Xenopus tropicalis: one gene and its partner. The protein of the gene in region 1 binds, or shares a complex with, the protein of each later gene. Links are inferred from orthologs where the notes say so. Each region holds a gene or a part of one and is shown on either strand. Other genes may lie near its edges.

Region 1 (15,973 bases):
TTTTTTTTCGTAATGATCGGTATTTTGCGACTTTTTTGCGCTCAATACGGAAAAATCGCAACAATTCGCAAAAGTCATAATGGCTATGCTAAAGTCACGACAATTCCCGAAAGTCATAATGGCTATGCTAAAGTCACGACAATTCCCGAGAGTCATAACGGCTATGCTAAAGTCACGACAATTCCCGAGAGTCATAACGGCTATGCTAAAGTCACGACAATTCCCGAGAGTCATAACGGCTATGCTAAAGTCGCGACAATTCCCGAAAGTCATAATGGCCATGCTAAAGTCCCGACAATTCCCGAGAGTCATAACGGCTATGCTAAAGTCCCGACAATTCCCGAGAGTCATAACGGCTATGCTAAAGTCCCGACAATTCCCGAGAGTCATAACGGCTATGCTAAAGTCACGACAATTCCCGAGAGTCATAACGGCTATGCTAAAGTCCCGACAATTCCCGAGAGTCATAACGGCTATGCTAAAGTCGCGACAATTCCCGAAAGTCATAACGGCTATGCTAAAGTCCCGACAATTCCCGAGAGTCATAACGGCTATGCTAAAGTCGCGACAATTCCCGAAAGTCATAATGGCTATGCTAAAGTCGCGACAATTCCCGAGAGTCATAACGGCTATGCTAAAGTCACGACAATTCCCGAGAGTCATAACGGCTATGCTAAAGTCGCGACAATTCCCGAAAGTCATAATGGCTATGCTAAAGTCCCGACAATTCCCGAGAGTCATAACGGCTATGCTAAAGTCACGACAATTCCCGAGAGTCATAACGGCTATGCTAAAGTCACGACAATTCCCGAGAGTCATAACGGCTATGCTAAAGTCGCGACAATTCCCGAAAGTCATAATGGCTATGCTAAAGTCACGACAATTCCCGAGAGTCATAACGGCTATGCTAAAGTCACGACAATTCCCGAAAGTCATAATGGCTATGCTAAAGTCACGACAATTCCCGAGAGTCATAACGGCTATGCTAAAGTCACGACAATTCCCGAGAGTCATAACGGCTATGCTAAAGTCACGACAATTCCCGAAAGTCATAATGGCTATGCTAAAGTCGCAAAATGTTTGTTTCCAATCGGATTTTTTCCCATTCAGAATTCGTGGATTAGTAAATCAGCCCCTGAGCAATTTACCAAAATATAATGATGTTAAAAAAAGGCAAAACACAAGGGTAAATGTATTTGCTATTGCAAGCAGTGAAGTCAGTTGATCACACAGTCAGAACCAGCAGTACACAGGCAGACTCCCAATAGCCATTACATACACAAGTAACAATGAATGAATGTACACTGGAAAGCTGCTCATTGTACAATTTGAGTTTCCCTTGGAGTAAGCCTGCAGCACCTACACACACACACACACACAAATAAAACAAATGCTGCAGCGATATCTGGCTTGTAAGTTATGAACTACATCTCCCAGCATCCTCCGTGTGTCACATACAGCACGGCCTACACAACCATAGCTGCGCCCCACAGCAATCCCCTAGCTTTCCCCACACAAGCACAGCAGCAGCAGGTTCCCGCAAATCCTCCCATTTCCAGGCCTGCGCTTCCCCCCCACAGACACGCTGAGGTAATTGGGGGTTCTCTTACCGCTCTTATCTGTTCTACTGAAAGATAACAAGTAAGACAACACTAGGGGAGGGTTCTCTCCCCCTTCCGTTCTTTCGCTTCTCCAACGGCTGAGGCGGGCGACGATATTTAGGGTTTATCGCCACCCTCCTTTCTTCTCCACAGCAGCCGCACAAAGATGGCGGCCGCTCCGCTCGGTGACGTCACTGGGACACTGCTCCTCTCGCTCCCGCGAAAGCGTGTGAGAGGGAGGCTGGAGGGGGCGGGGCGCGGCTCAGGCGGTGCTGTGAGGTAAAAAGGGGTGGGTAACATAACAATACGACCAAGTGTGCCGCTACTGTAGTTATGTTGCCAGATTTTCCACCAAATTGGGCTACTAATTTAAAACCCAGACGGGTTTCCACAGTACAAACCCACCAAGGTACAAGTTTGTGGATTTGGCGGGTTTGTAGTTTAGAAACTAGCCGAAGTTTTATTCCTCTGACATGTCTATCCCAATGCATGCTGGGTAATGTAGTTTGTAAGTTACTATTAGCCTACAGCTAAGATTAAGATAAAACCACAATACCCAGCATGCAATTATAGACAGAAGTTTTCTGTTCCTCTTTGCTGAACCTGAAGCAGCAAAGCTATTATAACCTGAATAGACTGGGCACAGAGGGCAGGTAAACATTAGTCATCCCTACAACTGGAGAGGGGGTGCAGGGCATGGGTAGTGATTATATGCTTTAAAAAGGCATGTTTTCCCATTTATACTTTTATTTTTTATTTATTTATTTATTTAATTGTGTATATTGGGCAATCTGTGGGTTCAGGCAAATGCCAGAGGGGCTGCTGTAAGATGCCATAGTCACTATTTATTGGGCTGGGGGGGCTGTTTGGGCCTCTGGGTACTTGGAATGCCAGGACCCAGGCCCAGACTGGCAATTTGTGGGTTCAGGCAAATGCCAGAGGGGCTGCTGTAAGGTGCCATAGACACTCACTATTTATTGGGCTGGGGGGGCTGTTTGGGCCTCTGGGTACTTGGAATGCCAGGACCCAGGCCCAGACTGGCAATCTGTGGGTTCAGGCAAATGCCAGAGGGGCTGCTGTAAGATGCCATAGTCACTCACTATTTATTGGGCTGGGGGGGCTGTTTGGGCCTCTGGGTACTTGGAATGCCAGGGCCCAGGCCCAGACTGGCAATCTGTGGGTTCAGGCAAATGCCAGAGGGGCTGCTGTAAGGTGCCATAGTCACTATTTATTGGGCTGGGGGGGGCTGTTTGGGCCTCTGGGTACTTGGAATGCCAGGGCCCAGGCCCAGACTGGCAATCTGTGGGTTCAGGCAAATGCCAGAGGGGCTGCTGTAAGGTGCCATAGACAGTCACTATTTATTGGGCTGGGGGGCTGTTTGGGCCTCTGGGTACTTGGAATGCCAGGGCCCAGGCCCAGACTGGCAATCTGTGGGTTCAGGCAAATGCCAGAGGGGCTGCTGTAAGGTGCCATAGTCACTATTTATTGGGCTGGGGGGGCTGTTTGGGCCTCTGGGTACTTGGAATGCCAGGGCCCAGGCCCAGACTGGCAATCTGTGGGTTCAGGCAAATGCCAGAGGGGCTGCTGTAAGGTGCCATAGACAGTCACTATTTATTGGGCTGGGGGGGCTGTTTGTGCCTCTGGGTACTTGGAATGCCAGGACCCAGGCCCAGACTGGCAATCTGTGGGTTCAGGCAAATGCCAGAGGGGCTGCTGTAAGGTGCCATAGACAGTCACTATTTATTGGGCTGTTTGGGCCTCTGGGTACTTGGAATGATATGCAGGTCAGAAAAACTGCAACCCGCATCAACTTGTACAATGTTACCACTACAGGAACCTGTACCTGTGTATTTCTGCTCCATATACTACTCTGCTTCAAAGAAAAAGAATTTTCAGAAGCAGAAGACAATTGCCCTCCCTACTCCCAACCTAAATGCACACTGGTCACCCAAACTTAACCTAAACCCCCGGCTCCAGATGGTTTTGGCTCAACCGAGCCATGCCTGCTCATTTCCTATATAGAGCAATGTTTTATGCACACAGTTACCAGGCTATTAAATTCTACCAAGAAATATCTACTGTGGCCTATCCTGTACCATGTTTCATTTTACAATAGGAGGTAAATTATAAACTATATTATACATGACCACACCTATCAGTACATATAAAACTATATGCATATACCTATACAGCTATGGGACCTGTTACCTAGAATGCTTGGGACATGCAGTTTTCCAGATAAGGGGTCTTTTTGTAATTTAGATCTCCATACCTTAAGTCTACCATAAAAATCATTTAAGCATTAATTAATCCCAATAAAATTGTTTTGCTTCCATTAATTTTATATCAGTTGGGATCAAGTACAGGCACTGTTTTATTATTACAGAGAAAAGGGAATCATTTAACCATTAAATAAACCCAATAGGGCTGTTCTGCCCCCAATAAGGGGTAATTATATCTTAGTTGGGATCAAGTACAGGTACTGTTTTATTATTACAGAGAAAAGGGAATCATTTAACCATTAAATAAACCCAATAGGGCTGTTCTGCCCCCAATAAGGGGTAATTATATCTTAGTTGGGATCAAGTACAGGTACTGTTTTATTATTACAGAGGAAATTATTTTTAAAAATGAAAGTTATTTGCTTATAATGGAGTCTATGGAAGATGGCCTTCCCGTAATTTATAACTTTCTGGATAACAGATCCCATACCTGTACAAAGCTGTATATCAGAATATCACTGTTGCCTTAGTTATCCAATCTATAGCTGCCAAAGTAATGGTCACATTGCTTTATTCTTGTGATTTTTAAAACCAGAAGGAAACTAAAAGAGGGCATTGTCAGAAACACATTTATTTTCTTCCAGGTATAGTACATGAATGCCAGTGTATACCAGCCACAATCAACACCAGTGGGTTTTACAATGTATGCTTTACTTAATAATAATAAAGCTTTACTTTATTTTTATAGAATTACACTCTAAGGCAGTTTTCATCAACCCATAGCAACCAGAGAACAATGTCAGTCTCACTTTTGACGGAGGACCAATTAAGAAATAAAAAGACAAACAATACAAACACAAACCAACAAAAAAAAATAAAATAAAAGGTGGCCATACACAGGATGATTCGCTCATTTGGCAGGGTCACCAAATGAGCAGATCTTCTTCTGATATGACCACCTAAAGGTGGGTGATATCAAATTACAAGGCATAGGCACTGTCAGATCGAGGACCGCATCAAGAAGCCAATGTGGTCCCGATCCAGTGAAAATTGAACCTACCCGATCAAGATCTGCCCAATTTTAGAACAGATAGGCAGCTGAAATCTGCCCATGTATGGCCATCTTAAGACCAACTGCTAAATTCCATAACGCTAAAGGTGAAATGCCTCTTCTGCTAAGATCAGACCAAAATATCTAGGCTTAAGACAACAGAGACCCCAATGCTCAATAACTGCCCCACAAGAACTCACACACATTAAGCATATTGCATCAAGTTGGAGAGCGCAGTGCCTCCTTGTGCGTATAGAGAATGCAATACATAATGGGTGTGGTTTTCCCAGTAAGGACTGGTTGATATTAGCGTCACTTATGTCGAACAGCCAACAAGAAAGAATCTGTAAATTGTAGTAATTGTAGATTTATTTATTTACATTTTTTTTTTTCAACTAAAATATATTTTCTTCTTGTAAATAGGCAAAGTCCAGCAAAGGACCCAGGAAAGAATCACCCTTTCTCATGCTACAAAAATATATTAATACTATTATCCTCTGTATAACCTTTTCTAGCAAGGCAGCACAGGGAAGAAGGTGAGTTTAGGGTAATGTATTTAAATGGAATCTGCCTTATTTTAAACAGATTATATTTTCTGGTATGATCTATATATTCATGTATTTTTTAACCCTTACTTTCCACCTAAGAATAATGAAGGAAACTGGGCCCTTCCTACAAGACTAGTATGGCTGATTATCAGGCAGGCTTGGAAATCACATTGGTCAAGGAACATATGAGCAGCAGACAGTGCCCCACAAGTTGGCAAAAAAGACGCTCCTTGTAAATTTAAGAGACATATTTCTGGTTATAAAACAGAAATTTGTCTCTTCTAGTCAGATAGGGCAACTGCACTCTCTGCGTTAGTGATGCAGCCCCCCCAGACCCTGTAAGTTCTGGGGGCGCCATCACAAGAGCCACCTCAAAAGGATAGAATTGCCCCTCTGGGCTCGTTGACGTTTCCTCTCCTGACTAGTCTCTCTGTAGGACCATAGAATGATTTGATTGTTGCCCTTGGGTGGGGGGCAAATGATTGGATCAACCAGATTTGACATATACTTGTTTAGCAACCTCATCATATGAGCAGACCTTTATGTGTATGGTCAGCATAAGGCAAATAAGGAAAAAGTTTGTTATACATGGTGTTTAACTAGGAGAGGAAATTTTTGCAGGAATGTAATTCTAAAACTGATTGGCACTAAAGTTATATTGTCTCCCCCGAGCCCCTTCACTTTTGTAGACCACCAGCAGTGTTTCAGTAGCAGCGATTAGGCCAAAGCACTAACGTTTGCCCTATAGTTTGCCAAGCCCCACATCACCGATACATCTAGGAGGGCCACAGGTTGCCCAAGTCAGGCTTAAATACAACTGTTAAAAATTAGGGTTAAATTGAGCAGTAATAGTGCATCCCCTTTATACAGCAACTATTTACACACTACTCATAAGGATCAAACATGTTTTTTCTGTTTTATGTTTAATTTAGTTAGGTTTGGTTTTTATCCAGGCTCTGCATACCCTTTCATTGTACTGTAGTACAGAAACCTTCACTGTTTCACGCAGGCGTAATATGAAGGCAACCACTGTGTATATTACTCGAGCCTTGTTCTATAAGCTCAATACTACACGGAGAGTCGAGGCTACAAAGATCAGACAATGGCATCTCCGGAAGCAAAAGGCTGGTAACTAAAGTAATAGCAAGAGTTTGTGTAACAGAGGCCATAGCACAGAGCTATATGGCACAGAATCCAGCTGGAACCGATCCCCTGTAGGCTGCCGTTTAGTGCTGAGTCCACTTTATGCTCTTTAAGTCAATTCCGTCCTGGACCATCTCCCATAACGGGCTGCAAAGAAATCAGAGAAGGTGAATCACTGCTATATAAATCCAGAACAAAACTGGGCCCACAGTGGGGAAAATTTGCACATCATCAAGGAACATTAATGTCTACATCACATTAAAGGTTAATTCTGAAAAGAGAACCCTCACCCTTTATAAACATTCTTTAGGTGGCCATGCAATGGCAGATTTAAGCTGCCGATTTGGCATCTTATCTGCCCGTGTATGGGGCCCTCAAATGCGCCTCCCTAACCGATATCTGCCCAAAAATTGGCCAGATGTTGATTGGGCCAGGATTGGACCGGATTACTCCGATATTGTCAATCTAAGGGGGTATATCGGAGAAAAGATCCAATCATTTGCTGACCTCATCAAACAAGCGGATCTTATACTGTATGGCCACCTTTAGTCAGTAGTTCCTGCTTAAAGCAGACTACCTATATCAACTACTGACGAGTATTCCTTTAATCATTCCCTCTAATTACAGCGTATATCTTCCTCACCTCATCTCCCGCAGCCGTTTTACTTCTTCAACACACTTTTTGACTGTGTAATCAACTTCTTCCTCAGTAGTAAAACGCCCAATGCCAAATCTAATGGGCAGAAATTACAATTTACATATAATTTTGAAAATATACAAAGTTCCACAGTCTCAGCAGGGCTATAAAATAGAAGGGTTTATAAATCACACATACAGCTTACATATACATAGACACATTTAAGATCATATCTGGTCAATGTAAGTCCTAGACATAGATAGTAGAATTTCTCACATGCACACCCAAACCTCTCCAGCAAGTTAGGGGGGACGGCACCAGTGTCAAAACGCTGAACCAAAAGGGATTACCAGCACAGTGACACACAAGGGTGGATTCCCTGCTTGTAATCGCAAACACTGCGCTGGTAATTCCTTTTGGTTCCTAGACTTTTAGTTGCCTTGATGTATGGTGCTTCACATTACGGAAAGATCATTATCCTATTTGGGCACAAAACATTCTTCCAAACATAAAACAAGTAGCAAATTAAGATACAGTGAGTAAAAACAGACCTTATAGATGAATGCGCCAAGTCCTCATCAGCACCGATCGCACGCAAGACGTAAGATGGCTCCAGAGAAGCGGACGTGCAGGCGCTAGAGGCAGAGGGAAAAAACAGTTATTCCAATCACAGAGAAATTTTTTTATTTAATCTAAATTTAAAAAAGTGTTTCTTACAGCATTGGATCCCCCTAAAATTGGCTGTATAATTAAATATATATATGAGGCAAAGGGGTTGCAAGGAGTTACAGGACGCTGTGTGTTAGTAGGGCTATAACTTACCAGGCATTGAGATTCTGGCTGTTGGAAGTGATATATATTAATATCAGTGCTTTACAACTGTGAGGCTGCACTGGATCAGGAGCTGGGGTGAGATTTTGGGGGAATGCCTATTGCCAGCTTGGAGAAAAGTCTGAGAGTTGGAGTAAACATGTATTTGCTTTCCTAGATGTTCTTGGAACTGTGGCTGTATGACTGATAGATCAATGTTTTCCCATACATATAACATGAGCTGAGAGTGTCCCTGCCTGAAGGTTGGACCTCAGATGGGGGTTTGAATAGAGAGACTAAGAAACACTGAATTAAGCTGCCATTTAATTACAAAACAGAAAACAAATGTGTGCTCCATACCTTCCAGATGATAAGGCCACATCTTTAAGGGCCATCAGTAAGCTTTCCCCTTCCACATAAGCAAAGGAAAGGTTTATGCATCCTGTGGGGGCAAGAAAGTGTGATTATTTTACAGTTATATAATGGCCACAGTTTACATATCCCAAAAGCTACAGTTTCAACAGTCAGAAAAATGTTAAGTTCCATCACGGAAAGTAAGACATTAATCACAGTGACTGATGCAAACTACAGGTCATATACAAAGACAGATGGAAGACTGTAACCAGACCATAGGAAAACTTGGCACGTAGGGTGTTCTGCCCACTACAAGCAGTCAAACACCCCCTTTGCCTGTTACAGTTCCTAACGTTATACAATGGCAAGTGAACATTTGGGCACAGAGGTCTAACTGTCACAGATGAGTGTGTGTGCCACCCAAGGCCATTAATGTTGTGACAGGTGGAGATGGGCTTACAGCTGGAGGGCACTGGTGGTCAAAACACCCCGAAAACCTTAAGCTATGTGGAAAAGAATCCCAGTAATTGTCTGAGTCAGGAAATGTAACCATACAATAAGCCCCGTAATATAAGCCTGACAATTCATTTCATGCCCTTACAAGAGGACAGGCTGTTGGCTTACATACGGGACATTATTTTCTAATCAAGTGGCAAGGTGGCTACTTTCCGGTTCTAAGATTTTAGCTTTACCTGCCCTGACTTTTCAATGTTTACAGCCATTTTTGATGCCCACCATACAAATCAGTGTATTAGGCACAAATAACAAAGTCCCTTAGCTTAACAAATGCAGCTGGGGGAGGGGAAGGTATTACCTGGGTACCGATGCTCTGCATCTCCGTTTAAAACAACTTCAGGAATTTGGCTCATTATATTCTGGGTGAGTCTTTTGGCTAGAGCACTGATTCTTCTGTGATCATACTGTAACATAGATGTACAATTGTAGAGTATTAATGCGCCAATGCACAGGAGATAGTACTCATTTCTGCAACATTTCTCCACAGCAGCAAAAGCAATAAAACACATGGTTTAGGGCATGGTTTCCTCTCAAGGCAACTTTCGGGGGAAATTCCACTGGCGATTTACATTCTCGCCGGTGGGATGGCATTTCGGGGAGATTAGTCGCCCGCAACAAGGGAGATTTGTCGCGGACGACTAGTCTCCCCGTGTGCCAGAGCCCTTAATATAATTTGTATTGTATTTTTTTTTTTTTAACATGGGTGAGAAGACTGAGAACTGCTTAGGTTGTTCACCCTGCCAATAAAGTAAGATGGGGGCACTGTGATTCTGATTCTCCATTCAACATGAAGAATCTCAATTTCCTTTCATAAATGGATTACACACATGTATTTTGGAAATTCAAAATCACTGGGGGCCAATTTGTTAGGTACCCACTTCAGTAACTACATTTGCACCCCAGGTTGATGCCTCTTTTACTCCATTTACTCAGCTATCCCTTGCTCCTCCCGGACACATGTACAGCATAGTAACTTATCAGGCACAGCTGTACTGCACTGTACATCTGGAAAGAAATGTGTGCCCCACCCAGTAATGTGGCAAGCCTTCTCCTGTAAGATATGCTCCAATATTTTTTCTATTCGCTCCCCTGTATCCAGAGGGTTCCAGAAAAGACCATCAGCACTGGCTAGTGAACTTTTATGTTGTGCCTAAATGTGAATCTACACAAATAAAGATTAAAAAAAATAAACACTTAAGGAACAAGCAGATGAATCTAGCGGCTTCAGTTCCCCTTTAGTACAGGAATAAACTGAATCTGCTACATAAACAAGGCATGGCATGTCACAAATATAAAGAGAAAAATCCCAGTGCCGCCTGCATACAGGCAGGTAATTGGCTGGGTCAGACTGGTGTTTATTATGTGTACTTACCTCTAGCTCTTCCTGAGACACTTTGCATGCCGCTCCGAGACCAACAACAAGAGGTGCTGGCACCGTCCCAGAGCGCAGGCCTCGCTCTTGGCCCCCACCACTGATTAAGGCCTCCATTCGGACTCTGGGTCTACGTCGGACATAGATTGCTCCGACTCCTGAATATAAGGAAGTATCATTGTAATAAAGCTTTACAACATGCCTATATAAAAGACACATGGCCTACACAGATGATGGAAATACATCGCAAACACTTAAATGGGAAGACTGAATTGAACTGAATTAACTTCTAGTACATTCCAAATGTCTTCATATTTTTAAACTTTTTCAAATATTAGCCTTTAAATTCTGCTCCTGTCCAGCCTGCAAATGGGAAGGCTCTCTGGTTACTGGACTCACTGTCCCTGGTCACAGAACTCCAGAGACTTCCAATAGTCTTATCATTTTTTACGTGTATCTATCCCTCGATAATAATAATAATGATGATAATAATAATCATGTACTTTATTTATACAGGTATCAGAGATTCCTGACTGTACTAGATAAGAGAATAAGAGTTGGATTTTTGCATTTTAATACTGCTGAATGAAAAGGTTAAAAGATAAAGAGGCAATAAGATATAGAGGCAATAAATTCTATCCAGTACCTTTGGGTCCATAGATTTTATGGCCACTGATACTCATCAGGTCAATCTTCATTTGGTTGACATTAAGGGGAATTTTGCCAACGGCCTGAGCTGCATCTGTGTGGAAGAAGATCTTGCGGGAGCTGCAGATCTGCCCTGTGGGAGGAGGGGAGAGACAGGAGTATAGAAAATACCACCGTACACAACCAGCCAAGTGGAATTTCTGGTTCTGGTTCTGTAAGGAACCCCCAGAAGCACATACTGACAGAGGGTACAATTACCTATCTCTTGTATGGGCTGCTTTACGCCTATCTCATTATTCACAGCCATTATAGATACCAGGCTTGTATCCGGCCGGATGGAATCTTCTAACACCTAAAGACAAGGATTGGATGAGACTCAGTGGGCAACAGAGCGCAATCATGGTAGTTAAGGAAATCGGCACTGTCACCTCACCTTTAAATCCACGAGGCCATTCTTCTGCACAGGCAGGTACGTAACTTGGAATCCCTCGGCCTCCAGGGAGCGGCAAGAATCCAGCACGCACTTGTGTTCCGTCTGGGTTGTTAGAATGTGTCTCTTGCGTGATTTGTAGAATTTGGCAACACCCTTCACGTAATGCAGAGACCTTAATGAGACGTGTGGCATTTGCTTCTTAACGTACAAAATTATATTTTGAGGAATTATGGCCATGGGGAAAATGCAAATAACTAGGAAGTGAAATGATATTCACAATGGGATTCAATCCTACCTGATCCCCATTGTAAGCAGCAGTCCTGCCCTGCTTTATGGCTGAGATTCTAGCTATCTGTATAACAGAGCATTCTGTCACAGTGGCACAGATCCTATCTGATCCCCCCATTGTAAGCAGCAGTCCTGCCCTGCTTTATGGCTGAGATTCTAGCTATCTGTATAACAGAGCATTCTGTCACAGTGGCACAGATCCTATCTGATCCCCCCATTGTAAGCAGCAGTCCTGCCCTGCTTTATGGCTGAGATTCTAGCTATCTGTATAACAGAGCATTCTGTCACAGTGGCACAGATCCTATCTGATCCCCCCATTGTAAGCAGCAGTCCTGCCCTGCTTTATGGCTGAGATTCTAGCTATCTGTATAACAGAGCATTCTGTCACAGTGGCACAGATCCTATCTGATTCCCCCATTGTAAGCAGCAGTCCTGCCCTGCTTTATGGCTGAGATTCTAGCTATCTGTATAACAGAGCATTCTGTCACAGTGGCAGAGATCCTATCTGACCCCACCCCATTGTAAGCAGCAGTCCTGCCCTGCTTTATGGCTGAGATTGCAAAAACTTCCCTACACTTAATACTGAAACATTGTGGCATGACAGCATCCCTTTAAACCACCGCTGTTACCTTAAGTGCTAGATTATTGGATTCTGTGGCGCCGCTTGTAAAAATGATCTCCCTTGAATCTGCTCCGATCAGAGAGGCAACTTGCTGCAGAAATGAAGAAAACTGGAGTTAATAGGAACTCATAAAAGCTGACAGCACTTTCCAAATGTAAAAATCCCTTATTTCATTAATCCAGGCTACAGTACTGAGCAATATTTACCATATGTAGCTTGCCAAATACTGCCATCTAGTGGCCCAAACTACCAATGAATTAGTTTTTGAAGACTTTTAATAACAAATGTGGGCAGCGGATCATTTGATATCCAAGCACATAATGTGGCTGGTTGTGGGCCACAAGCTGCCACATTATGTGCTTGGATATCAAATATCAGATTCTTATAAAACATTGATGTTGTACAGAACATTCTGAGCTCATCTTCCTTGTGATAGAGGCCATAAAAATCTTCTGGGGGCCCCAGGAGATTTTTATGGCCTCTATCACAAGGAAGATGAGCTCAGAATCTTCTGTACAACATCAATGTTTTATAAGAATCTGACCCCCAGCCCACAAACACGTAAAAGAGCAGATAACTGGAGTGGCCCACAGCATATAAAATACAGGACACAGTTCTTGCAATATACTACCTCACGAGCTTTCTCCACAGCTTTCTCAGTCTCCCAGCCATACGCATGGGTCCTCGAGTGGGGGTTTCCATAATAGTTTACCATATAAGGCAACATTCGGTCCAATACCCTGGGATCCTGTAGGCCGAAAGATCATTGAAAAACGCTCTAGATAATCCATTACATTCTTTAGAAACAGGACCTTTAAAATAAGGATGCAGTCCTGTCCTGCTTTATGGCTGAGTTAGAAAACTTGAAACCCATTCTTTACATCACTGCACGAGTTTGAACTATTTACCGGATTAATTGGTATAGAAAAAGAAAGATTAGCAAGGCAACTGAAGCAGCATCGCAGCAGTTTTAAAATAAGTCCTTCATAATAACTGTATTACCACAGCACACTGGCAGATTTCAGACATTTTGTCAAAATGCAGGAATTGCCCTTCTCTGCTGAAAGAAGACCAATATTACCCTGTGTATTACCCTTCCCTACCCTATTAGAAGCCCTTCATAATAAAACATTGTGGCCGGACAGTGTCCCTTTAGGGTAAGAATCCACGGAGCGACTAACCACTCCAAAATGGCTTTCCACCGGGACAATAGGAGTCACTGGTGAAAAGCCATTCACATTGCAGTCCTGCCCTGCTTTACGGAAAATGAAGCGATGAGAAGGGCTTTCCCCTAGTGCCACATATTGTTGCTGGTGGAAAGCCCTTTCGGTCCGCGGGTTCTTACCCTTAAGCCAGAGCACAGCATTTGGTTTTGATGGGGATCAAAGCAATCAACAATAGTCATGGAATGAAATACGATTGGCAGATACAGACCAATGAGGTTGTCGCCTGAACATCCATATATAGAGGGCGGAGATTCGACTCCTCTGGCTTCTTCTGAACCCGCCACTCTGCAGAAAAATTATGAATAGAAATAAAAATGTGTTTCATTGATTGGCGCCAGTGTTCCCAACGCAGTGCAGCCCGAGGGCCCCAATATCCCGGCCATTCAGTATTGGCTTTTCCCTTGCGTACAGAGATTTCTTTAGACTCTCGGAATCTGTTAATGATATTATGTACTGTAGCTGAGGAAATGAGTGTTTGCAATTTTATGTTGAGGAACTTTGCAAATCATCCCATTCTCTTTTTATTGCATGTAACACAGCGTGACAATAGGTTTGGGAAATGGCCTGGCACACAGTATTGCCCCCCTCTATACCAGGCCTTAACTGTCCCAGTCCCTTGGAATAACCTGCAATGTATGTTTGTGCATATACCTGCCCCAAATGTCTCCTTTATTCTACAAATTACACCCTATTTCCCCACCTAACTGCTCTTAGCTCCTCCCCTTGTTTCCACAGAAACAATCCTATCTATGGGCCTTATTAGTTCATCCTGTGCCCCTCCATGCCTACCCCTAATCCCTCAGTGCCCCCCATGCCTACTCCTAATCCCTCAGTGCCCCCCATGCCTACCCCTTATCCCTCAGTGCCCCCCATGCCTACCCCTAATCCCTCAGTGCCCCCCATGCCTACCCCTAATCCCTCAGTGCCCCCCCATGCCCTACCCCTAATCCCTCAGTGCCCCCATGCCTACCCCTAATCCCTCAGTGCCCCCATGCCTACCCCTAATCCCTCAGTGCCCCCCATGCCTACCCCTAATCCCTCAGTGCCCCCCATGCCTACCCCTAATCCCTCAGTGCCCCCCATGCCTACCGCTAATCCCTCAGTGCCCCCCATGCCTACCCCTAATCCCTCAGTGCCCCCCATGCCTACCCCTAATCCCTCAGTGCCCCCCATGCCTACCCCTAATCCCTCAGTGCCCCCCATGCCTACCCCTAATCCCTCAGTGCCCCCCATGCCTACCCCTAATCCCTCAGTGCCCCCCCATGCCTACCCCTAATCCCTCAGTGCCCCCCATGCCTACCCCTAATCCCTCAGTGCCCCCCATGCCTACCCCTAATCCCTCAGTGCCCCCCATGCCTACCCCTAATCCCTCAGTGCCCCCCATGCCTACCCCTAATCCCTCAGTGCCCCCATACCTACCCCTAATCCCTCAGTGCCCCCCCATACCTACCCCTAATCCCTCAGTGCCCCCCATACCTACCCCTAATCCCTCAGTGCCCCCCATGCCTACCCCTAATCCCTCAGTGCCCCCATGCCTACCCCTAATCCCTCAGTGCCCCCCATGCCTACCCCTAATCCCTCAGTGCCCCCCATGCCTACCCCTAATCCCTCAGTGCCCCCCATGCCTACCCCTAATCCCTCAGTGCCCCCCATGCCTACCCCTAATCCCTCAGTGCCCCCCATACCTACCCCTAATCCCTCAGTGCCCCCCATACCTACCCCTAATCCCTCAGTGCCCCCCATACCTACCCCTAATCCCTCAGTGCCCCCCATACCTACCCCTAATCCCTCAGTGCCCCCCATACCTACCCTAATCCCTCAGTGCCCCCCATACCTACCCCTAATCCCTCAGTGCCCCCCATACCTACCCCTAATCCCTCAGTGCCCCCCATGCCTACCTTAGTACCAACCTAACCAGACCACACTAAAGCCCCCATCCCTGTATGCCCTCAGCACCTCACTGCCCATAGCCCTTAATTACATTGCTTACCTGCCCCCACATGACACCATTACAGTTGCCCCAGAACCCCTAAATACCCCAGACATTAACACCTTACTGTCCCCACACTTATATGACAGCAGTGAGAAGCCCTATTTGCCCCCAGTCCTGTCACCCACCACAGGTCATGTGACGAGCTGCTTCCCCACGGTGCGGCCTCCCCTCTCCCCACGGTGCGGCCTCCCCTCTCCCCCCTGCGGCCTCCCCTCTCCCCCCTGCGGCCTCCCCTCTCCCCCTGCGGCCTCCCCTCTCCCCCTGCGTACCTCTCCTTTCCCCATGACAGGCCCTGACACCGCGGCTTTGCTCGCAACTCCCCGCCCTCAGGAGGCCCCGGACGGCTCCCCGGCTCAGCATCTCCCCCAGTGCAGCGCTGGGACTTGTGTAACAGGACTGGGTACAACACAGGTAGGCCGGGGGCGCAGGTAGGCGGGGCTGGAGCGCAACTTCCGGTAGGGGAGGAGCCAAAAGGCGTCAGTGGGAGGCTGCGGGCCTGTTGCACTAGG
Region 2 (14,944 bases), on another chromosome or scaffold:
CTTCCAGACGCTGGATCTCTGCTTCGTTTTCCTTTTCGTCCTCCTCTTCAGAAGAAGATTGGCCTGATCCCTCATAAGAATCATCGGGGGCCCCTTCTCCCTCAGACTCCATCTCCTCTTCTTCATCCCGTATACCTTGGGCTTCTATCTCCTCATCCCCACGTTTAGCAGCCGCCATACTACCCCTCCTCACGGGTGCGGATAGTACCTAGTGGCGATTCGTCCTCTGCTGGCGTCAATCGCACGTGACGCACGGCGTCATCGTCACGTGATGTATATTAAACGTAAACGCGGGAGCGCTTGTTCATTGAGGGGATTATGTTTCTTTTCATTCTGTGGCGGTTTTAGAATGTAGGGGAGCAGTTATATTTTTGCAGCTATCTGCAATCTAATGCGTGTTCTTCTCAATATTTCTGGGGCAGTTTGCTGTGAGATTTAAGCGGGTACTGAGAGCAGCATGGGTCATTGCTGAGAATTATACTGATGTTGCTGACTAGTGAGAGTTCTGTGGGCAGGGTTGCCTGATTTATTTTCCCAAACCAGCCAAAGTCAGTTCTAAAACTAGCCAAAAGCCACTTTTAAAGAAGCCAAAAAATAGTGCAATTTAATAAAAGTATATATGGGGAGATATACCTTTTTAAAGCATAAAATCACTACAGTTACTGGTATGACTGATGTTTCCCTGCCCTCTGTGCCCAGTCCATCCAGGTTATAGTAGTTCTTCAGGTTCAGCAAAGAGAAGCTTCTGTCTATAATTGCATGCTGGGTATTGTAATTTTATATTAATCTTAGTTGTAGGCTAATTGTAAGATACAAACCCAGCATGCACTGTGATAGGCATGTCAGAGGAAAAAAACTTTGGCTAGTTTTCAAACTACAAACCCACCAAGGCTCCAAAAACTAGCCCAAATATGTACCATGGCAGGTTGGTACTTTGGAAACCCACCTGGGCTTTAAATTAGTAGCCCAATTTGGCGGAAAACCTGCCAACCCTGTCTGTGGATTGCTGTATGGGGAGGGTTGCAGACTGCTTAGGGCTCTACTGCCTGATTCCACACTAGGTCCTAAAAGTGGAATTAGGAAAAAAAGGTAGGCTTCACCTTATAGGAAAACTATACCCCCAGAATGAGTACTCAGGGAGTGGTTTGAATAAGAAGGTGAACCACCCCTTTAATACAAAATAAATGCACTGGCCCAAACAGCACCCCACAGGGCCCATAAATAATGAATATATATAGGATGTTACAGCAGCCCCTCCAGCATTTGCCAAAGTCCAGACCTGGACCCATTGGCAGAGCACATACCCCAAACTTTTTGTCAGCTCAGTTTCGTAAAAAATTTGCCAATGGCGAAATGTGGAATTCCAATGTGAATCCATGCCTGGCAAAAAATTTTGCTCATCACTAGAGGAAAGCAAAGCTTCTGATGCAGAACTATTACTATGCAGCTCTATCACTGTCAGGGGACTTGTAGCAGGGCTCTGACAATAATAAGCAGGGAGCATTGACAGCAACTCCTGCTTTATTTTATTGGTAGATATTTTTGTGGTACTCCAGCAAGGAGAGGGAGCGGTGGTGCGACAAAAAAACACAGGATTCAGTCGCAGGACTGTGCAGTCTCTTGGATCCCAAAGGATAAGCAGAGTTGAAGGAGCGCTGAATCAGTGGTGCCAAGGGCAGCAGACATGGGCGTAACTACAGAGGAAGCAGACCCAGTGGTTGCAGAGGGGCCCAGGAGTATAAAGGGCCCAGTGAAGCCCTAATTAATGAGCAATTTCAATATACCATGATAGATTTTCTGACTGATATCAGATGAAAGATTGCTAGATATAAATCACTCAGTGCACGCTCCCCTTATGATAATTTGATGGTTTTGTCATATCACACTGGAATTGATAGTTAAGAAAGGAAAAATTGTTACGTGTATGGTCTGCTTTAGGGCTGTGTCATGTTTTTCTGTTGCAATACCCTACAGTCACACATTGGTAGCTATGCCAACACACTTGCACTGCTTTACATTAAACATTTCTAGTCCCAAAAGCACAATTCAATGCCTTAAAAAAAATCAATAGTGGGGTCTGAACCTGCTCCCCATGTGGTGGGGGTTCAGCATTTTTGCGGTGGATGCCAAGCTCATATCGCTATGCCATGGGTTTGGGACATCCAAAATGTCTCTGTGTGGGTCAGGGGAACAATTGGCACATGGAACCAGTGCAGGCCCTAACTAGGATTCAAAATAGTTCCTGTCATTTAAAGCAGTGGCCCCCAACCTTTTTTGCACCAAGGACTGGTTTCCAGCAAGACAATTTTTCCAAGGACCGGGAATGGGGGGTGGCGCAACTAGTGCATAGTATATAATTTAATTATTACATATATAATGTAAATGTAATTATTTCATTTTATATTATGCACTTTATTTTATTAATATTACTACATTATAAAATCTAATACAGCTATCATAATACATAATCATATATAATATCAGTGGGAGACCTGAGCTTGTTTCCCTGCAACTAGATGCGCCCAGCCCCTTTGCTCTTCTTACTCTTACCTAAGTGGTGACATCCCCTGCCGGTTAGTATGGAGCTCTAAAGAGCAAGGAAAGGCTTCTACTATAGCCCTTAATATATTGTAGAGCCCCCTTGCCTGTAGTAGATTGCCAACTTTATTTTTTAAAATAATGCTCCCTTCTCCCAAAATGTGCCTTTTAACTTTGCTCTATTTGCACTCTGTAGCGTCAGCCATCTTGGATCTTTTGTGCACCTAAATGCGCATCCTCCAGCTCCCCCCAGCATCGTCCCTGCGGCGACCAAACTTCCCCCCCTGCTCCCCGCAGCACTCGCCTGCTCCTTCTGTGTCCGGCTAATGGTGCACGCTCATAGGGGCCAGCTCAGATGGTAGGGGAGCATGCCTGCTTGTGTCACTGAAGAGAGACATGCGCATGCGCCGCCTAGTGTCCTGGGTTATAGGGTCTGTGCAGGAGCGATGCATTATGGGAATCCTCTTTACCCAGCTCGGCGTTTTTTTTTCACGTTTGGCTTCTGATCATCTGAACGATTGCAATATGGGGAGACTTGAGGGCACTATTGAGACAACTGAAGGTAAGCCTGCAGCTTGAGATTAACTCTTTGGTAGCCTTTACTTCTCCTTTAAGTACTTTGGTCCTTGTAGCAATCAGTAGAAAGCTTCCTGGGCTTTGCATAGCTGTTGTCATGGCTGTGTGGGACCAGAGGTGACCCGATTCAGCACAGCCCATAGCCCAGCACCTGTCCCCGGCCCGGTGGTTGGGAACCCCTGATTTAAAGCACATAGAGGCCCAAGCAACCCTGCACCAGCCCAATATATAGTGACTTTCTGTAGGGCTAGAAATGGGTCTGGCAGAAGAGGCATGTGCCCAGGGTACAATGTAACCTGTCACTAGTCTGGGCTCTTGTCCTCCCACTTCCCACTCGTCATTTACCTCCCCAGTAGTCAACATGCATGCATGCATGCAAAGGGGTGAGGTGGCTGGCTGGGTTGCCTAGGATGCCCAGCCGACTTGGCCCAGCACAAACTGTCCATGGCCATAGGCCTCTGCAAAAAGAGGCAAGGAAGGCCACTTGCCCCCCCCCCCCCTAGAATTCTACACACCTGACCCAGATCGGTGTTGAAATGTAACATATTGCCCAGCTTGTCCTTGGTTTTTCTCAGCTACCTGCTCCTTGAGAAAAGAATTAAACAATAAAACTGTAGCTTCACAGAGCAATAGTTTTTTTGTCTCAGGTGTCAGTGATCCCCTTTTAAAAGCTGCAAAGAGAACAAGATGGCAAATACTGTAATTCAAAAACTATGGAAACAAATAATAAAGACTTAAGAATATATAATTGAAAAGTTTAATAGAATTGGCCTTTATATAACAAACTAAAAGTGAAATAAAAGGTGAGCCATCACTTTAAACAGCCCCCTGGTTCTACACTTATTAGTTGCGAGCAGCGTTACAGGCTTTGCTAATAAACCTAATACGTACGTAAAACACAGTTTGCTTTTTACTTAATGACTCTTCCTCCCCGCAGTTTTTGCGGACACCCATGTCTATGACAAATACGTACAAAGGTTCTTCTAGCCTGGAATAAAAAACTGACCAAAACCAACTCCGATATCGCGCTACTTTATTACACTACTGGATGTAAACTACATCAATTCCACTTCCACGTTAGCGATAATAGGCATAAAGAGTCCCTTGACTTTGCGGTTGAACTTGGTAAACCTAATAAAGTTATAGGGCAACAAAAGAAACTTATCCCTGCAGAATGAGCTAAAGCCCAAGTACATGACAGCTCCACACTTCAACGTTACACATAATAGAACGCTGAACCTTATTACGCAACCTGGCTGCAACAAACTTTATTGTTGGTTACGCCCCCTCAGGCCATGTGACCCGCACGTTGTGTGGCGTTGGCACGCCGCGTCCCTATTTGCTAGCTGCGCGAGTGGAGGACGCTATGGCTGGCGTGGGCCGGGTGTTTTGCTCCTTATGGAGAAAATGTGGGGTGCACGAGTTTCGGGTGCCTTGTGCTTCTTATCATAAGAAGGTATGCAGCGCTGTGCGTGGGGCGTACGGGGCCAATACGGAACAGGGTAGTGTGGGAGCAGGAAACGAGTGTTACATAAGGTGACACAGGTGTCACAGTGACAGCGCTCGCCTCGCAGCCCATACTATAAAGTACTTATTGCCAATGCAAGCCGACACGTTTATCTTTTAACACCGTAACCATCTTTACAGAGGACTACAACATGAGTCGTTTTAATTCTTAATAGAAGGCTGTCAGCTTCGGTTGTGGTGAAATACAGTAACAGCAGCCAGTGGGGTTGTCAGCTTCACTTCCCCGAATGGCTTGAGAGAAAAGGTGTCTCAAGAGAGAAGCCGAGTTAGCAACTGATAGGAATTGACAATGACTGACTCTAGCACTCTGAGGGTATAGGGAATATGGTAAAACTTTATGCTAAGTAAGACATGTTTGCCATAAGAGATACTGACATCAAAAATGTATTCTTTTTTTTTTTACTTCTGTCATACCATAGGCTTTGCATGCTATTGATTAATTTGCCAGAAAAGTATTCATCATGCTGTCCGTTAGAATTACAAGCTATAACTGACTGGCTAAGAAGGGACAGTCAGGTTGGTAAAACTGGTTTAGGACTTCAAGTAACAATTACTCACAAATGCAGCTCTTTCGGTAAAAAACGAGCAACATGACCTATAGGCAACTTTTCGTGGACATTTGTATTTTGAAGAGTAGTTTTTTAGTGTCAGTATCAAATGTACATATATAAATATAATTCACTGCACCACTACGGTAGCTGAAGTGTTTCAAGGTTATGAGGGGACATTTACGGGAGAATTCAGGAAAAGGAAATATTGTGGTTGTGATGCCAAATTCTCAGACTTATTTTTCTGCCCCTATAGACAGTTTTGCAAAAAATATCATTAAAAGTATGCATGGCTATCTTTCTGTCAATACCTGTTGTGAGTTTCTCATACAAGGCACTTTTGGCAAGCAAAAACACATTTGTCAAAAACAAATTATACATCTCTAAATTACTTTTTGTTTTCATTAAGAATTTGTGCCACTTTATTTCCTTTGGCTGCTTTCCTGTGTCAACAACACATACAATTTGGATTGTGGCATGATAGCTAATCTTCATCTTGGGGGTGGTCAGTTTCATTCCTTCGCTGCTAGTTGATTGGCAGACCTGACATTATATTTAACTACATCTTTCCTGGATGAGGGCAATCCTGTGATTTGGTAAAGACCAAAACACCCATATTCACTGGCACCGGTATTTAGTAAAAGTTAAAAGTATTTAAAACAATTTAGAGATATATGACTTTTAAAATGCTCTGATGGTTAATACGACAGCACATAGTATAGATAGGGATTTTGCCATTCTTTTGAATGGGAATGAAGTATGGGTCAGGATAGGTGTTTTGACCTTTGTAACTCTCCTTGAAAGAACTAAAGCACTGTGATGCCTGTGCTATAGATATTACAGATGTTTGTTGTTTACAAGATAAAATCTGATGCAAGTGTTTACAGGGGCTCAGCATTCATTGCCTTCCATTAAATTTGCAGCTTATATACTAACTGAGCAAATGGCAATTTTACACAAAAACTTTTGTACCAAAGTTAAGGTACATAAGCTACCAAATAAGGACTGTGTTTAGTTATTTGGTAGCCCCTATGTGAACTGGCAGACTACAGGAGGCTCTGTTTGGCAGTGCACATAGTTTTTATGCAAAAAAAAAAACAAAACTTGTCTGTAAGCCAGAAATTAAAAAAATAAACCCCTGCTTTGAGGCCACTGGGAGCAACATCCAAGGGATCGGTGAGCAACATGTTGTTCTCGAGCCACTGGTTGGGAGTCACTGCCCTAACCCATATAGGCCTAGATCTAACTAATTATATGCAGTGCTCCCTAAAACAGGGTTAAATCTAGCATTTCAATAAAAGTGGTTTGGTGCTTATTTTACAGAAATGTAATGTTTGTATTCACGTTGTAAACAAGGCTGGCATAAAAATGTGGGTCAATATAGTGACAGAACATTTCACTATTAACAGCAGTATCTCTGTATGCTGAATAGTACCATTTGTACTCCATAGTTTTTCACAGCAAGCAATAAAAAAAAAAAAACATTGTACAGATTTTTTTTTTTTTTTTAAACTAATTCATTTTTGTTAGTAATAATTTAAAGGAGAACAAAAGTTATAATCACTGGTAGGTGCCAAAATGTTAGGAAGGAAGAGGATCGCTCACCTGCCTGTGTAACAGGAGCACCAGCCAGGGGTTTCACGTAAGTGATTACAATCACTGGTGCCTTGTGCCTAACATTTGACTCTCCTCAGTGATTTAGCCTTTCCTTCTCCTTTAATTAGACTTTTTCAGATTTTGTGGCCAAGCTTACGTTTGTGTAGGTTTCATTGTTCTCTGGCACTGTTCCCTGGCATCTGTAATAGATTTGCAACCATGTGTGACTTTTTGTTGCCACAAGATTAGCAGCAGAAGTAAACATCTTGTGACTTGTTCAGACCACAAGTTCTTTTTAATTTGTCACTTGTCACATAATCATAGAGGGCACAGAAGATGGCCAAGTAACCTTGGCCATATTTATACAGATTGCTGTGTTTCTGTCCCAGTGTAATTACAGGCCTCAGAATTATTTGCATTACACTCAAGAGCATATTTTTTAACTGTTTAAATTAACATCACCTCTAAGGACAAAGGAAATATTGTCTTCTTAATAGACTCTATAAGGACTAATGAAAGTCTATTAAGAGAAGATAAAACTGGAAATGACTACAAAATGTTGATGCATTAGCTATGACATCATGGGTTTTATATCAATACATCTATCTGTAGCAAAGTGTAAGCCGATGCTTCAAATGTGTGTTCTAAACAGACAGTTAAGAAAATTACCATTCTGCATGCAAAAATAACTGCTTGTTAAAGATGCTTGGTTGTTTTGTCTCAGCATTTAAATGGTGACTAAACCCCTGTACATATGTTTGTACTCAATGTGCATGATATAAACCTTCTGTTGTGCCCAAAGGTACATTTGCTGTATGACAACCTAGGTTCCCTCTCACTCTGATTAAACAAAATTTAAACAAAATTAGACTAGTGATACTAGTATACTGGCATGGGATTTCGTATCTGGAAACCCAATACCCAGAAAGTCTGCACACTCCATTTTAAGCAAATTGTAAAAAGGATTTTCTTTCTCTCAGTAGTAATAAAACAATGCCATGTACTTTACGGTAACTAAGCTGCATAAATCCATATTGGTCGCACAACATTGCTAGTGGGTTTATTGTTTAAAGTTTTTTAGTAGACTTAAAAAGGTTGTTCACCTTTTCTAAAACACTTAAATATGTTCACATTAACCAATACATAAACAATCTTTGCCATATAAATAGTTAACAAAAAATAACAATTTAAAGGAAACTATGTAGGTCTCTATAAAAATATATTGCATAAACAAGTTCATAAGTAAAACCCTGCTTCATCTAAATAAACCATTTTCGTAAAAATATACTTTTTTAGTAGTATGTGCTAATTGGGTACTTCTAAATAGAAAATTGGGTTGGGGAGCAACATGTTGCGCATTAGCCACTGGTTGGGGATCACTGCTCTAAGCTGTGGATTAGGCACCTCCAGTGAAACAGATCACTATTTTTCCCCAGGCTGGTGCTCCTGTTATAAGAAAACTGCACCGGCCTGTGGGGAAAAAATGGTATCAGCGCTGCGCCAGCATTTTATTTACATTCCAACCAGTGTCTTTTGCGTCAATACCTGTTCATGCGTGTGCACTGGGGAAACCTGTGAAATGTTCTCTACTGTTCATGAGCAGAATGCCAAACACCAAAGGAATGTTTTTGAAAAACAGATTTCAATGCAGGATTCTGCTGTAGAAGCTTTATTAACGGATGGGTTTGAAAAAAATCATGTTTTCCCATGACAGTATTATTTTAAGATACGGTATGATCCAAATTTTGGAAAACCACCTATTCCTACACACCAGCTCCCAAGCATTTCAGTTGATAGACCTGTGTTTCCTTCTCATGCTGAAAAGTACTTAGACCTCAAGTTTTTCAAACTTCTTTGTATTATGTAAGTAAATTGTATACCGGCATTTCCTCACAGGTAGTTGATCATTATGAAAATCCAAGAAATGTTGGATCCCTTGACAAGAACGCAAAGAATGTTGGGACTGGGTTGGTGGGAGCACCAGCATGTGGTGATGTCATGAAACTACAGGTAAATGCTGAGTGTTAATGTGAAATGGCTTTTCATAACTAGAGTTGAATCTAAGATTTGTAGCTCTCTTGTGTTTTTCATATTCCTCTTGGTTACAGAAACAGCTCATTATTCTGTAGGGCCACCATACCTAGGTCATCTAAGGACTGGTTACCATTTTCTTAAGAATCGCTACAGATTAAAAATCTCACTTAAAACGATGTATAAGTATAATATAGCTAATTTGGCATGTGATATATTTTGGGTTTTTTTTAGCACTGATTGGGGGACAAAGAGTTCACTTAGAACTCACCAGATTTGCATATGAACTTTACAGTTTGAAAACCAGATTAGTTGTGTACATGGAAATTTTTAAAACTTAGCTTTTTGTTTTTGTAATTTTTTCCTAAAATTCATGTCAGGCAGACATTTTCCCATATGACAAAATTGTGAATCTCGGACACCCGTTTTCCAATAAAGTTTTAAAACGTAACATTTTGTTTTTGTAACTTTTTCCACAAATCATGATGTATGACATTATGAACCTTAGACACAGGTTTTCCCATACTCTATATTGGCCTGCTTTCTTCAGTGCTTTGTTGTTGTAGGTACTATTATTTCTTCATGGAAGACATAGGTTTAAAGAGTTTTTACACAGATGCAGTGAACAAGCAACACTGGCAAACAGCATATTCTTTACTTTTTATACTTCTTGCTACTTTATCCTCTAAGGCCCATTTTTTAGTGCTGTACTGGGATGGTAGTTATTATCAGACTGATATTTGCTTTGTGTTTCACCTTACAGATTGAAGTGGACAACAATGGAAAGATTATTGAAGCCAAGTTCAAAACGTTTGGTTGTGGGTCTGCCATTGCCTCCAGTTCTCTTGCCACAGAATGGGTTAAGGGAAAAACGGTAACATGACAATTGCTTTTATAAAATGTCTTCACTGCCCCTATAGTAAGGGATTTAGCTATCCCTTGTGAATTAGCATGATATTTAGACACACATGACTTGGATGTTAAAATAAGTCACTTACACTTATAATGTAAATAGCATTTCTTTAATACTGCTCTACTGCCACTCTAAAGTTTCTAATGAGTATATTCAGATAGGCAAGTCATATACACTTAGACAGGAGTCATTAGACTGTTTAGGGTAAAGTAATGGCCTGTTTTTTTGCTAATTAATATTGTATTATTTGTTTATATTAAACACAGGTTGATGAAGCTATGACTATCAAGAATACAGACATAGCCAAAGAACTCTGCCTTCCACCAGTGAAGCTGCACTGTTCCAGTAAGGGTCTTTGCTCTGTATTACCAGACTTATGAATGTTATCATATTTCCTGCATATTTTTATGTAAAAATAATGCTTTTTATAGATTAGGCAGAAAATGTTTGTCTCAGCAGCTTCTATGATCAGGTGCATAGATTCACTAGGAATCCTTCACTAGGACCCAAAGTAGATTTTCATTTACTTTTCCAATGAGGTGTACAGAATAGTGCTAAAGGTGCCATAACACACTGACTAAGCTTTTTGACAGCTGTTTTTTGAAGTGTCACTCTAATTCCATAGGAGAGGCAGTGGAGTTTTCATGTGGTGATGGCACTGTAGGTGAAAACATGGGAAGAGGGAATTTTTTTGTCACCTTTAACAGTGATGGCACACACGGAAATTAGTTGCTCAAAATAAATCTTCACTACCATGGGCAACATTAATGTAATAATTTAGATTGCTGGTGGGAAAATGTATGCATTTCTTTTGATTGCATATTTATCCTGGGCGGGCGACTTTCTGGGGTGCCATCACTCTAAAGGGCATAGTTGGGAGGCTTATATCCCACTGCTCATTATATATTGTTTACTGCAGCAATACTGTCAACAAGCAACCAAAGACAAGGTGCAGGGAATGTTTCAGAGGCTTTTAACTAACTCACTGCCACAGTTAACAAGACTGAAAAATATTTTATTTAAACATCTTGTATTAGTTATGAACTAGTTAATATATTTATCTAACTCTTCTGCACATTATTTCATCTCTGATTTGTCTCTTGTAACCTTTTGTGCCTATGTTTTTTCCATTTTATTTAGTGCTGGCTGAAGATGCCATCAGAGCAGCCCTGGCAGATTACAGACTGAAGCAGGATAAAGACGAAGCTGCAGCAAGTGGCTAGCTGAGCAGAGTGTGAGCTCTACTATAATGGCAACATTTAGTCACTTTATGCTGTTCTTTTGGGTATTAAAGCATGTCTTTACCATTTGAATGGCAGACTTCTGATACGCACAATTATTTAGCAGCTTGTCAAACTGTGTGAATCTCCTCCTAATAATGTGATTATTTTCAATTTGCAAGCTGAGTATACTTAGAGTGTATAAACAAAACTATTTTGTTCTTTATTCCCTAATGTCCAAGACCTCCACCTATCCTCTGTTCACATGTAATTTCTGGTTTAAACACATGGCACTACATTACAGTGCCAGGTTTGTCATACCTTCCACGTAAAGTAATATAGAAATTTCATCTAGTCATCTAGTTTTTGTTTAAGTATTATTGGGAAATGCCACAACGCACATCTTCAGATGCACAACGATTGTGAGGATGTGTGGTTTTTCCCCGTCTGTTTCCAGCACCCTTATGTTTGAGTTCTTGATAAGTCTTGTACGGTTTTGTATATAAATGGCTATGCATTCATAATACAATATAAAACCCATGCTGAATTACAAGAATCAAACAAACGTTGCCACTGTGTTCTGATCCAATTTGTGTGGCTCTTACTGAACTGAAATGCAATTGTTCTCAGAAAGGTTCATTTTTGAAAATTAAATGTCTGACTGGAAGCCCCTGATCCCCTCCTTCTGTTACCAAGACTGGGTTTGCTAAGCCATATCCTGCCAGAGAAAAGTACATTGAGTTAATTACATTGGGCCTTTAATAGGGAGTGGCATGTTCCAGGTATCATACCAGCAGCCCTGAAAATTCCCCATTTTGAGTACTCAGAATGATACTGGTAGAATCGAAAGCAGGGATTATATGATGCTTCTTAGTTTTGTATGCAGTGCATTTGACCAGCTGCCTTTTGCTTTTGTATATATTTGGTAAAAGATAATAAAAAAAGAAAGTGTTATATGTGTTGTCTTTTTGTATTTTAGATAGTTTGCTGCTGTGTGGGTGTGTGTAGATATATGCATATTTGCTAACTGTACAGCATGGTATAGGCACCATTTATGCCTGATCCATAAATTATGACAACTCTTTTATAATATTTTAAATAGTATGAAGCAGGAAGCACAGCCTTAATTGGGTGGTTCACCTTTAAGTAAACTTTTATTATGATGCAGAGGGTGATATGCTGAGACAATTTGCAATTTTATTTTTATTTTTAATTATTTCAGTTTTTGTTCAGCAGCTCTCCTGTTTGGAGTTTCAGCAGCTATTTGGTTGACTGATATATGAATAGGAGAGGCCTTACTAAGGTAACAATAACAATAAAACTTTAGTTTCACAGAGCAGTAGTTTTTTGGCTGCCGGAGTCTGTGACTCCTGTTTAAAAGCTGCAAAAAGTTAGAAGACAAGTAATTCAAAAACTATAAAATAAATAAATAAGACCAAAAGTTGCTTAGAATTGGGCATTCTATCAAATACTAAAAGTTAACTAAAAAGGTTAACCACTGCTTTTAAGGTGGCCATACATGTTCAGATCTTAGCCTTCTTCTGATGGACATTCAGATATCCATCATACGTTTAAATGCAACGATCTAAAACTAACATTCAGACTGAAATTGTAGGATAAAGCCATAAAAATAACAAATCGGAGGATGTTCTGAACATGAAATAGTTGGCGAAAGTGACTTCCTGGAAATGCATTGTAGGTCCCCCCAAGTATATTGTCCGATACACAATACATGCACAGATTTTATTTTTATCTGACTAAAATTTTCTAACCGTCCCATCAACTAAACAAGTAATCATGAAAATTATCAGGACGATAGTTGGAAGCCCACACATGGTCCAAAAATCAAACAATACCTAAGTTTTGTATGATCGGTGAGTGTATGGGCAGCTTTATTGGTTTTTTTTTTTTCTGTTATCCATATGGTGGGGTGGATATCCATTTTAAAGGAGACATATCCTATAAAAATTATGAATGTACCAGTGAATTATACTCCTCTAGATATAGAAGGAATGTGCTTAAAAAATTGTGTTTCTGACTGATTTATTGAGAAATTCCACAAAAACCCCAATAGCCCCGCCCATCTGTTCCACTTCCTGCTGGCAGAATTCTCTGGATGAGCTGGGGAGCCGGCGGCCCTCAGTACACTGCACTGTAGGATAGGAACCAATCAGCAACTTGGCTGACCTGTGCTTGTGTGACTGCAGGGCTGTGATTGGCTCACCCCTCCTACTGTGCTTCTGGCAGGGACCGTTAGTACACGCCCACTCCATTTCACACGGGACGGAGAAGTGATACGATCTATAGGGAGCTCCAATAAAGGGGCCATTTTTATAGAGGATTAATTTTTAGCACAAAAGGAAACCAGCACCGTATATTATTCATAATTGCCTACAAAAAGCGTTTTTCCCATTAATCCTATATGTCTACTTTAAACACAATTGTTAAATATTGGCAGTTTTAACCTAGGGTATATTAAACTTAAAAAAAAAATGCTCACGAGTATTAGTAAAGGAAGCAGGAAACAAGCCTTCCACCAGCAGAGGTCGTTACAACTTAAAGAATGTGAGTTAGGGATTTCTAACCATTTTGTTACTACACAGGAGAGGATCTTTTGGTTCACTGTTTGAACTGGGCTCCCTTAGTTCAAAATAAGTTGCAAATATATGAAAGTATTACTTTATTAGCCATTTAGTCATAAAGATAATATTCAGGGCAGCAGTTAAGTTATTTTCCTATATTACAGACTAATACACTTTCACATTGGAGTTATAGGCATATCCCTCCCAAACAGGCAATTCTTTCTAATTTTCACTGTACCTTGTTTTCAGGCTGAATCCCCCCCATCCCCCAGCCATTCAATGCTTCAGACCCCTGTAGGAACAACTGGCATAGAGGGATGCATGTCTGTCTGGTGTAACAGATGAATGTAGCATAGCAGAAAGACAAATTGCAGATGGTCATAAAGAACACTATCTCCTGTATTGATTTAATTTGTACAGATATGTTGGCACATTATACTACTAAATTTTGATAATGTGTTAATTTCATGGTGAGCTACCCTTTATATTTTGGTACTTAGCTAAGTCTGAAGATTGTGTGATCAACCCAGGAAGTGAGGCCATATACGTCACTCGGTTATATATGTTTACCCCCTTGCCTGTCAAAGATCATAAATTCTCTGCTGCAGGTACCCGACTGCTGTCGCCATAGAGTTAACATTTCTGGGTTACTCTTTGATCTGTGCCGTAACCCTGCCAACACAGTGCAGTGAGATCAAAGAGCCTTGGCAGTAAAGTGCTTAGTATATCACTTGCCCATTCTTTAGATAGAAATATCTGATTCTTCAGTCCCACAACTTGGAGGCACCCTGCTAAAGTGGAGTACCCACCTGTTCTCTCCATACAACCATGATTGGGGTGGGGGACTCTGGTTTGCTTCATTACAGCACAAGCTGTTGTAGAGTAGTAAAATCGACCTACCGGAAGACATTGATGCTCACATTTTTCTTTTTTATACTCATAAACTGTGTAACGCTAATGTTTTTTTGTTACAGTGTTACAAGTAGAGTATGAAAAAATTGTGAGCATCAATGTCTTTCTGTAGGCTGATTTTATTACTTCCTAGGGAGAAAAAAAGGAACTGGATTTTTAAGGCATCTCGTCACTGCTTGAGCATGTTGGCCCAGGCATCTGTTTACTTTGGCCTATTTTCTGAAGTGAGAGAACTGCCTGGGATTTTAGAGTCTTGTACAGAAAGCAGGGGAAACAAGACCAAGGTTTTAAAATAGACTGTACCACCGACTCAGCTGCTTGATCAATACTTCCTCATGGTGTAGTGCGGTGTATACATTTTTACTGAAGTAAACTTTCTCCCTCTTAAAGATATTCAGCATGTCATAAACTGGAGCTACTTTAAATAGACTACATACCATTTATTAAAATGTTCAGTAAAGCAGTATTGAAATACTTCTATACTGCACTGTGTTTTAGGAA

Evidence for each region.
Region 2: the proteins of nfs1 (region 1) and iscu are in contact, whole or in part, in a crystal structure (PDB 6W1D), measured with the Homo sapiens proteins. The link is inferred for Xenopus tropicalis from reciprocal best matches to the Homo sapiens genes NFS1 and ISCU. Residues at the interface, in NP_066923.3 of Homo sapiens: Tyr360, Val361, Glu362, Glu364, Ser365, Leu367, Met368, Ala369, Lys371, Glu399, Asp400, His403, Ser404, His429, Arg432, Leu433, Glu435, Met436, Ser437, Pro438, Leu439, Glu441, Met442, Trp454, Thr455; in NP_998760.1 of Homo sapiens: Tyr35, Val40, His42, Tyr43, Glu44, Val49, Gly50, Ser51, Leu63, Val64, Gly65, Ala66, Pro67, Ala68, Cys69, Gly70, Val72, Lys74, Phe90, Lys91, Thr92, Phe93, Gly94, Cys95, Gly96, Ile99, Lys135.

Annotation. Positions count from the first base shown.
Region 1 is NC_030686.2:42,808,351-42,824,323, forward strand, and holds nfs1 (cysteine desulfurase, mitochondrial), read right to left. Parts: upstream 15,846-15,973; 5' UTR 15,825-15,845; coding exon 15,734-15,824; intron 13,757-15,733; coding exon 13,680-13,756; intron 12,994-13,679; coding exon 12,877-12,993; intron 12,337-12,876; coding exon 12,253-12,336; intron 11,489-12,252; coding exon 11,336-11,488; intron 11,255-11,335; coding exon 11,161-11,254; intron 11,036-11,160; coding exon 10,901-11,035; intron 10,413-10,900; coding exon 10,255-10,412; intron 9,287-10,254; coding exon 9,181-9,286; intron 8,455-9,180; coding exon 8,373-8,454; intron 7,838-8,372; coding exon 7,754-7,837; intron 7,299-7,753; coding exon 7,209-7,298; intron 6,713-7,208; coding exon 6,649-6,712; 3' UTR 4,435-6,648; downstream 1-4,434.
Region 2 is NC_030677.2:146,310,345-146,325,288, forward strand, and holds iscu (iron-sulfur cluster assembly enzyme ISCU, mitochondrial), read left to right. Parts: upstream 1-4,451; 5' UTR 4,452-4,480; coding exon 4,481-4,570; intron 4,571-8,681; coding exon 8,682-8,795; intron 8,796-9,579; coding exon 9,580-9,690; intron 9,691-9,995; coding exon 9,996-10,074; intron 10,075-10,869; coding exon 10,870-10,952; 3' UTR 10,953-11,893; downstream 11,894-14,944.